2 linked regions of the Drosophila melanogaster genome follow. The protein of the gene in region 2 purifies or fractionates together with the protein of the main gene of each other region. This does not show direct contact. Each region holds a gene or a part of one and is shown on either strand. Other genes may lie near its edges.

Evidence for each region.
Region 1: the proteins of Cdk5alpha (region 2) and Cdk5 purify together in Drosophila melanogaster (affinity purification with western blotting, with the first as the bait; one study listed by BioGRID). This does not show direct contact.

What each region holds. Positions count from the first base shown.
Region 1 is NT_033778.4:15,568,932-15,573,540, forward strand, and holds Cdk5 (Cyclin-dependent kinase 5), read right to left. Parts: upstream 2,487-4,609; 5' UTR 2,372-2,486; coding exon 2,204-2,371; intron 2,140-2,203; coding exon 1,952-2,139; intron 1,792-1,951; coding exon 1,427-1,791; intron 1,365-1,426; coding exon 1,201-1,364; 3' UTR 608-1,200; downstream 1-607. Other genes in the region: Flo1 (flotillin 1), read right to left, coding at 188-239; CG30466 (uncharacterized protein), read left to right, coding at 584-607, 2,747-3,826, 3,882-3,995; CG8204 (uncharacterized protein), read right to left, coding at 4,258-4,460, 4,519-4,609. UniProt on the Drosophila melanogaster protein: Probably involved in the control of the cell cycle. Interacts with D1 and D3-type G1 cyclins. Possible regulator of neuronal differentiation and/or development.
Region 2 is NT_033779.5:10,307,317-10,312,549, forward strand, and holds Cdk5alpha (Cdk5 activator-like protein), read right to left. Parts: upstream 3,641-5,233; 5' UTR 3,228-3,640; intron 2,994-3,227; 5' UTR 2,989-2,993; coding exon 2,056-2,988; intron 1,635-2,055; coding exon 1,497-1,634; intron 1,438-1,496; coding exon 1,232-1,437; intron 1,160-1,231; coding exon 1,018-1,159; 3' UTR 815-1,017; downstream 1-814. Other genes in the region: CG4968 (uncharacterized protein), read left to right, coding at 1-177, 242-655; l(2)SH0834 (lethal (2) SH0834), read right to left, coding at 4,014-4,468, 4,583-4,742; Usp14 (ubiquitin specific protease 14), read right to left, coding at 5,068-5,233.

The sequences.
Region 1 (4,609 bases), on a different chromosome or scaffold from region 2:
GCATATTCAGCTTCTTCCCCTGTTATCCCAACAACAACATTTGCGGTACACAAAAATCGATAGTGACGTCACTTGGGGTGGGGTGTATATATATGTGTGTGTGCGTGACAATTTCATTTTTATTCACTGACTTATTTATTTAATCGATTTGACATTATTTTGAGCATATAAGGATCGTGTGATTTACCAGAGACAACTAAAGCCTCGTTGGGGCCGCAGGTTACAAATCCCCAAGTCATTTCTGCAGCACTTATTTGTTATTTATATTAGAAAATGGGTTGCTGCTGATAACAGCTTTTGTTTTATCTGCGCGGTTAACACAGTTTTCCGATTATTAACTATATAGCGAATTATCCGATCCACAGGTAGCCTTGTTTATTCGTCTAATAATATATATAAAAGAATTTCCGAGGTACTCGGTGCTTAAGATTCAGAAATCCGACCGGTTCGGTTAGCAATTCGTAGCACAATAAAAAAATCTCTCAATCTGTAAAGTTCTCAATTTCTAACTCGCGAGTGCGCAGAACGACTTTAACCCCTATTGAGTGCCGGGGGTTGAGGCGACCACTTCAAAATATTCATCATGCTGCGACGACGTAGTGCTGCGGTAAGTGTCTTTATTGGTTTAAAAATCTAGGTTACATCTCAATTTTTTTTATTCTAATTTACTTAATGACTCATATCATTCAGAAAGATCGAAATTCTTAAAAATACACAATAAATGTAATAAGAAAATCGTCGACACTCATTAAATTTGGAAACCAGATGTATTGCCTAGTTTTTAGTCTTTGAAAACAGAAACTAGGATTTCAAATATTTTTTCCACATTCACACAAACAGTAGATATCGTCTAGGAATTTGAACAATTTTCGGATCTTAACGATACACTCAACATAAAAATTTTTAAGAATAAAACTATTTTACTGAATCAATAAGTATTTTATCGATAAATGTTAATTTGGCAGCTCAAATGGCTATATTAAGTGTCACATTGGTAGGGATTGTCATAAATCAAACCTTTTGCTTTGGTAAATCAAACTAATGAAATTATAAAGAACTTTTTATCTTATACTATAATCGAACTCTACTGCAAGGACATACATATATAATTAAAAGATCTTTGCTGGACAAAGTCTCGCATTTTGGCTTAAGTCTAATCAAAGGTCGTGAAAACAGTGGCTTGGAAAGAACCTTCCGACCTCAATGTCCCGAAGAGCTGCTGTCCGTAAAGTAGGGATGCTGCATCGCCGCCTCCGCGCTAATTCGCTGATTTGGCCGGCAGATGAGCAGCTTTTGCAGCAGGTCGCGTCCCTTGGAGTTTAGCCTAGGTACCAGCTGACTCCACGAGGTGATGGCCGGAAAAGCTATAATATAAATAGGCTTTTAATATTGGTATCGATAAATAAAATCCGTCTAGAATCCCTACATGGAAGCGCCACGTAGTCGGAGAGGTGCGAAACTCCTGGCCAGGAGTCCTCGTTGGGGGTGCCCAGCACACGGAAGATCTTCATCAGCTGATCGAGCACGTCAGAGCCAGGAAACAGCGGTCGTCCAGCGTCCGCCAGTTCGGCCAAAATGCATCCAGCGGACCACATGTCTATGCTGGTCGTATAGAGCTTGGCTCCAAATAGGACATCGGGTGGTCGGTACCACAGGGTCACCACTTCTGCGGAGTAGCACTTCACGGGAATGCCAAAGGCTCTAGCGAGACCAAAGTCAGCTAGCTTTAGCTCGCCGTTTTTGTTGATCAGCAGGTTCTGTGGTTTCAGATCGCGATGCAGGACATTATGGCTAAAATAGGATAATGTAGCGTAAGTTAAGTCTCAATGCTATAAAATGGATATCATTCGGAAATGTGCCACAGATGAAGTTACTCCAAATAACACTTGATTCTAACTATAATCGACACAAGATAAGACCTAATCCAGTGCTGATACATATATAGGTATACCTGTGGCAGAATGCCAGTCCGCGGAGCAGTTGGAGCATAAAGCTCCTGCAGACGGCCATGTCGATCTCCCCGTTGAGGCTGTCAAAGTACTTCTTGAGGTCCTGGTCGCAGTGCTCGAAGACCAGGGTGAGTTTCTTGTCCGAGTGCAGGACGTCTATGAGGCGCACAATGTTCTTGTGCTTCAGCTCCTACGGATGGTAATGTGCCGATTTAGTTTATAAACTGGAATCACTTCCTGCTCGTCCGACTGACCTTCAGCAGGCAGATCTCCCGGAGGGCAGAACTGGGCACACCCTCGTCGTCCTCGTCCAGTCGCACCCGTTTCAGGGCCACTATTTCCATGGTGTCGCGGTTGCGACCCTTGAACACCGTGCCGTAGGTGCCCTCCCCGATCTTCTCCATTTTATCGTACTTCTGCATTTTGCTGTGTTTTGGTGTGTATTATTTTGCGTTCAGATGGAAAACTCCGGGGATTATTGTTTTTGCAGTTTGTTTTTGCTGGCCAGGGATTCGTGCGCCTAACAGCACACTGTTATTCGCTTACAGCACGCGGTGACTAACCAACATCGCAGCTGACAGTCTGCTGTCACCAAAAATACTCAAAATTAACAGATATCATTTTAAAAATGTTGATAAAACTTTTGTTATAATTTTATTGTTTTATTTGGACTCGATATTAGCTAAACATACGAATATAGACCGACAATGATAAACACCGATCTTATGGTACCGCAATGCAACAATATAGCAGAAATATAAGTATACAAGTTTCCTAATTTCTTTTGCCCTTTGCAGAATACCAAGCCTGGCTTACTATGTCTGCCCGATGATGTTCTAATGATAATTCTAAGTTATCTCGACTTGAAGACCCAACTAAAACTGAAAGACTTTCATTTCCGGTTTAAGAAATTAATGCCGTATGTGTGGCGTGCTTATAACAAATGTGCATATATATCCTTGATTGAAATGCAGCTGAGCGACAAGGATTTGCTATTCTTCCTGGAAAGTACTCAACAAATCCTCAGCACTCTGCGGCTCAAAATGAATAATAGATCTAACTTCGAAACACTTACCAGCTGTAGTTTTCCAAAACTTAAAGATTTTCGATTTTCCACGCATTCGTTTAACTTAAACGATGCGGACGTGCCAAGAATGTTGAAAACTTTTCCAAATCTGACAACTTTTAGCCCCCATGGAAAGTTTACTGGCAAACACTTTGATGAATTCGAGTTTCTCGAGAACCTCACGGTCTCCTACTGCAGCAAATTCAATGTCACCAACTTGATACAGATCCTGAAAACCAGAAAAATAAAATCCCTGAAGCTGGGTATCTTCGATATTGACCAGATTTCGAACACAGAACTGCCCTGGAAAGGGATTAGAAACCTAGAGCAGCTGCAGTGCTTCCAGGAGGAAATGATGGTGTGGTTCCTATCGAAACTGGAACGTCTAACTCACTTGAAGAAGCTATTTCTTTGTGGTCACGTTAGATACGGATTTCTGAGAGAGATTCTCATAGCTGCGAAGAGAAGCACTATAAATATGATCGAGATAAGCCAAAATACATCCATATTTTGTGAAACTTACGGTTTAAATGTGGCTATTAAGACCCTAAAGGTGGCTAATTTTGGTATGCATGCGTATCAGCATCTTCACATTAATGTCAATGAATTTTATATACAAAATTCGGTTTGTGTGGACGAAATTAAGTTTCATACCTTAATACAAAACCTAAACACACACGAGGTCCTGGGTATATACCATTGCACCTTCGGATTTAAGGAGTTCACATTCGATGCGAAGAAACTGGGAGAAAACCGTACCACAGCACTTAATATTTATGTGGAACTAAACACGTATCTCATGTCTAATGAGGTCTAAGTATTTCACAACTTATATTAGCTTTCGTTTCTAATATTTTTCATTACAGGATCCCATCCCCATGACCTGGAAAGTGCAAGGGGAACATAGGCTTTTCAAGTTGCACATGAAGCATCCAAAAATCACTTTTAACTCGGATCCAGTTTCAATTTACTTTGATTGAGTTTGATTGCCAAGGAACGAAGCTGTAGACTGATGACTAGTTTGATATGCCAGCTGAGATAGATAACTTTAAATGGCCGAGCCAAATAATTAGTTGTACGTTTTCCCTGGTTATGGAAAAGATTCAACCTTACCGGCGGATTTCAATGAGAAGTTTCCAGGAGTTCTTCAATGCAAGCTCCTCTAGAAGCTGCCAAGGATTGACAGTACTATTAGTTACAAAATAAAGGCTTAGTTTTATTGAGACTGTGTGTCAACTTAATTCAGGAGTACAACTCAAATTCAGTGCGCTCAGCATCCGTCATCGGTTCGACGACTTGAAGGCAGGCATTAGCGAACTCCACGAAGAGTGGCTCCTGCATGGCGGCCATCATGGCCGACTGGGCATTGATGGCCACATCAATCTGCTGGAGCAGCGAACGCAGGTGTGGATTGTGGAGCAAATTACGCAGTTCCTGGCAGTTTTCTGTACGGAAACCATCATACTATGAGAAATGTGTATAATTGCGAATTTAAACACCTACCTAGTTGCTGGAGCTTCTCCGCGGCAACTGTGTCGTCGGTGGGGAAGGGCACATGAAGCGTAGGTTCCTCCTGGTAGCCAACTTCAGTCTT
Region 2 (5,233 bases):
CGCCGCACCCGCCCCGATGGCAATTGTTTCTTCCGAGCCTTCGCCTACTCCTACTTGGAGTACTTGATCTCAAACACCAGTGCCTACCAGGAGTTCAAAAAACTGGCCGAGGAGTCCAAGGAGAAGCTCGTTCAGCTGGGATTTCCTAGTTTTACATTGGAGGACTTTCACGAAACGGTATGTTTAGCCGTACAAATGCAAAACGAATTCCCTATGCTTATGCAGCCTTTTGTATGTCCAGTTCATGGAAGTCATCCAGCGCGTTAGCCCCGACAATGCAGGAGGACACAGCACGGTCCAAGATGAGTTGCACAAGATCTTCAATGAGCAGGGTTACTCAGACTACGTGGTGGTTTACCTACGTTTGATCACCTCGGGAAAACTGCAGGAGGAGGCCGATTTTTACCAAAATTTCATCGAAGGCGACCTCACCATTGAGGCGTTCCGCCATCTGGAAGTGGAGCCGATGTACAAGGAATCGGATCACATCCACATAATCGCTCTATGCACCGCCCTCGGCGCTGGAGTTCGTGTCGAGTACTTGGACCGTGGCGAAGGTGGGACTGTGAAGGCCCACGATTTCCCCGAGGGAAGCGAGCCCCGAATTTACCTGATATATCGACCAGGCCACTACGATATACTGTATCCAAATTGAATTGCTCTCAGTAGTTTCTAGATTACGAAACGATTTATGTATATAAGATGTATAATAAACTACCATTTATTTGCATATATGGTGAATATTTTCCTTCTCTTTTGGTTCTGCATAAGATTGAGATTGATTGATTAGCCCAGCAATGGAAACACAGATTTTACACATATCGTAGATGTTAATTTATTTAAACACTAATCTTTATTATTTGATTTGAACGATTGTGATAGTGACATAATGAAATTGTCTAATGTTTTATAAAATATTAAGTTTTATTAACGGTACTTCGCCATCATTTCATCCGGAAATTTCTGGCGATGCGCAGACAATGAGAGGTTGACAATAATCTCCCGGTCGTCCATCCGTCAGGCGCCTCCACAGTATGATTTAATTGTAGGATGATATTGACCACAAGATTTCAGCTCAGTAAAGACTTCGGTAAAAAATCCCGGCTCAGCATTGATTTTAAGCATTTTATCACTTAGCTTGTTCACAATGACGAGGCACCTGTATGTTACATTAAAGATTAAGATGCAGATGGAAAATATTTCATTGAAATTAACTTATTATTTGACATACCTGTCCCAAAACTTTTCCTTCGAGTCTTCAACCAAAAACGGTTTGAGTGGATAACTGATTTCATTGCCCATATACGAATAAGACAGATACAAACAGGTGAGTACTGATGCCTGAAGATCCGATTCCTTGCTCTCTTCTCCGCTGACCAGCTCGCGGACTAGCATGTAGACAAACACCACATTGGCTGGGTTTATGAACGCCACGTCCTTGGAATTAAATGTTGTGCTTATTGTTTGAAGGACATGTGGCAGAGTAGCTACTGTACCTGCCATCCTTGGAGCAAAAGGCTGCGATCCACTGCTCTGAGCCACATGACCGCATCCCCGGCATCGAAATTGTTTAGCCTCTGACAACGACAGTGCAAGAACATGCCCAAGCACTTAAGCAATTCCGAAGTGGAGGCCTGCGAGGTGTTCGAAAATAATATAAAGTATCCTATATAAAACCAATTTCATCTTTTGTTTGGAAAGCTGAAACCAGCTATCTTTGACAAGCGGGAGTTTTAAATCTATTGTATCGCTTATATAATTAAATCTAAACGTATTTCTTTAAATCAGTTCCAATTCCTGAACTTAAGGATGTACCATGCAATAGATTCGCCAAAGAAAATATATTATCTCGTATTTTGTTAAAGAACTTATTATGAAACACAGTGAAATGCTTAAAAATCTCATGATTTGACTTTCATTATATGATATGATATGGTATCTAAGTTCAAAATTTTCTTTTCAAAAGTATGCTACACAAGTTGGATCCCCACTAATATGTTAGGATCTCAAAACTGACTTGCTAGATATAATACCATATTTTGGTACAATACGCACCTGAATGACGGTCTTGCGTGGGATCTGGTTGGTGTTTTTGGTCTGAATGGACGAGGCCTGGACTTGCTGGGGCAGGCTGAGCGTCAGGGGCTGTTTCTGGATCAGCTTGTTGTGGTTCGACATGGAGTTCTTGTTGTTGACCTTGACGGGGTCTTTCGCCTTGGAAGGATTCTGCGATTTACCCGGCGGACCGGTCATGACCTCCTCCCGGATATCCTGCACCTGATTCTGGTTCTGATTCTGATTCTGATTCTGGTGCTGGTGCTGATTCTGGAGCTGAAGCTGATGCTGGTGCGGATGGGGATGGGGATGCTGGTTGCAGTGCTGCTGGTTGTGCTCATCGATGCGATTGCAGTGCAGCTGGATGTTGCGATTCTTGTCCGAGGACGAGGCGAACGAGGACTCCAGCAGCTGGGCCTTGAAGCAGGCCGTGGGCAGGTTGGCGCACTTGTTCTTGTTCTCGATCTTCTTCTTGTTGTGCGACGTGGAGAGCTTCTTCCACGAGAGCGCATTGATGAAGATCGAATGCTTCTTCAGGTTCTTCTCGAACGAGCTCTTCTCCGCCTTGAGCACCGAGTTCTCATTATGCGTGTCCAGCACATTGGTGATGGTGTCCTTGGAGGCGTTCGCCAGATTGTTCAAATTGTGTGAGCTCAGCTGGGTTTGTGTCTGCAGATTGATGTGAACGCCGCCACACTGACCACCCGGCTGGCCAATCACATTCTTGGCCATCGGATGGCAGGCGGACTTCTTGTTCTCCCGATTCTTGGCATTGTTCAGCTGCTCGTAGGAGAAGTTGTTCAGATGGGAGTCTATGGAGCCAGTGCTGTCGTTCTCGTTCCGCATATCGGTCGAGTGATTATATTGAAAATTTGGCTGGGACGAGTAGATGGGATGGCGATCCCGCGGATTGAAGCTCAACACCGTTCCCATGATGGCTGCAATTGCGAATGGGTTTGCAAATCAATAAGACTGAGACCAAGACCCTCGTCGCCCTTCGTTAGTAAGGTTATTTTAAAATATTGATTTTCAATCAAAGTACTCATGCCTCATTCTCACTTAAAGCAGTTATATTCAAATGGATAGCATTCAAATCGAAATCACACCCAGAAAACTCAGCTTAATTTGTAGTTTCTTAAACTTTATTCATGGATACCAGAGGTAGTTTTTACCTTATTAGTTTCGTATTACTCGGGGGAAAAAAAATCTGCCAAGTGCGTTTGTAAATCCGAATATCCTTGCGCAGCAGCTCGATGTTATGCCATTTTTAACGGCTGCATAATTACACTTATCTACGGTAGCCGATTGCACCAATCATATATTTTTTCAAGCACTAATTTCCACCTTGCACTTGTTTATGAAAACATCTTTTCGCCACAAGCTTATGAAATAAGTACACAGTCTTAAAATCGATACAAAGTATGCGCAGGCCCACAGGCGAGGGTGGGCACTTTTCCTTTTTTCGCGTTTCTGGGCATGCTCAGTGAAGGTGTTTTCCAATTACTATTACTATGTCCTGACAGGCGGACGGGCCTGGGTCTATTTTTAGAAATTCTTAAAAGAAATGTAAGAAACCAAGAGAATTGTTATTTTTCGCAAAGATATTTTTTGTATTTCTATCTAACAACGTATTAACAACTTATTATTCTTTGTTTTAAGAGATTTGAAGACATTTTTTCAGAGTTAAATGAGTTTTTTTAATAATCAGCCAACTTAAGTTAGAAAATTTAGACTTAAAACTGAGGGTTGTTAACGGTTTCAAAGTTTTTATACATAAATATTTCAGATAAACAGTGCTGTACAGCACCTAAAGTCGCTGCCAGTGCTGAAAACGCAATGGTGGTTGTTTTTTGGCCATCGACTGACGTCCTTAATCTGAGATGAATGAATGATTCAACTAGCTTTGATAGTATTTGTCTTGCTAATCATGTTGCACACCCCTAAATAAGACATAATTTTTATTTAACAATTGTAGCATATTCGGGTCTAAAATTTAGTAAGAGCATGCTTCCTGAACAAACAACACAAACGGTTATCGCAAGATCACCCAACAATGACTGAAGAATAAAAAATATACTGCTAAACTGCTTAATTTTGCTGGTAATATTCGGATTGATGAACATAAGTAACAAGGGTCCCATGCTGGCCGGTAGATGGTCTTCTTTGTAATTCTGCAGAAATGCAAGCTCTGCAATCACAAAAAGCAGAACGGGAATGAAAACACTGGTGTTCGTGTAAAGAGCCAAAAGAAATCCAAAGCAAGCCGCCAAAATAATGTGAACTCTGCTCTTAAGAAATGCATTTCGTGACGTGGTTCTTTGGGGCGCAGGTTGTTCTGGCAGAAATGAACGCCTTATTGGAATATCCGGCTCCACCTCCGGATCGGAATATTGCGTATTTGAGGGTTCACCATCTGCAATTAGGAAATCATAAACATTTATAGATGGAGAGTTTGACACAAATCATAACATTGGCATATGTACAATATATGTACACATCTGTATGTACATAAAAGATCATGTGTTACCGAGGTTTTCATTCTGAAACGCCGACGTCGATCTGCTATTCAATTTGTCCAGTCGTGCCTTGGACGCTTCCAATATTTTCTTTCTGCGCAATTCCCGCCGCAAAGCAAGCGACTGCCGTGCAGAATTCGCATCTGCTGTTCCTGAATCATTACTATCCATAATTATAAACACTAAGATAACTTGCAATTTGACAATTTGGGTGTGACCTTATTGCTGTAAAATACCATCTTGCCCCTGTCAAGGTAACGCCGACAAGCCGATTGGAAACGAACCGCTGTTGGTAAATTTTAAACCAAGCCGTTATTTGAGTAAAACATATGCATTAAATATTAAAACTTTTTCTTATGGAAACCTAATAATCATTTTGTGTCACAAACCAATGCGAATTGAAGACTTGGAAATGAGAGCTCACCCTTAAGGATTTGGTTATTTATTCAGAATTATTATATTAACAATACAAATGTAATGACGTTAACACAATTACTTATAGTTTCTCCAAACGTCTGGGCGCATATAACAGGACATAGGCGCAATGCCAGTCTCCGCCACCGGAAAGCCGCAAAATCTCGTCCGTGGCCACGGCGGAGACCTCATCATCATCGAACTTGAACCACACATCGCCGCTGGAGCGAACCCAGGCCACATAATGA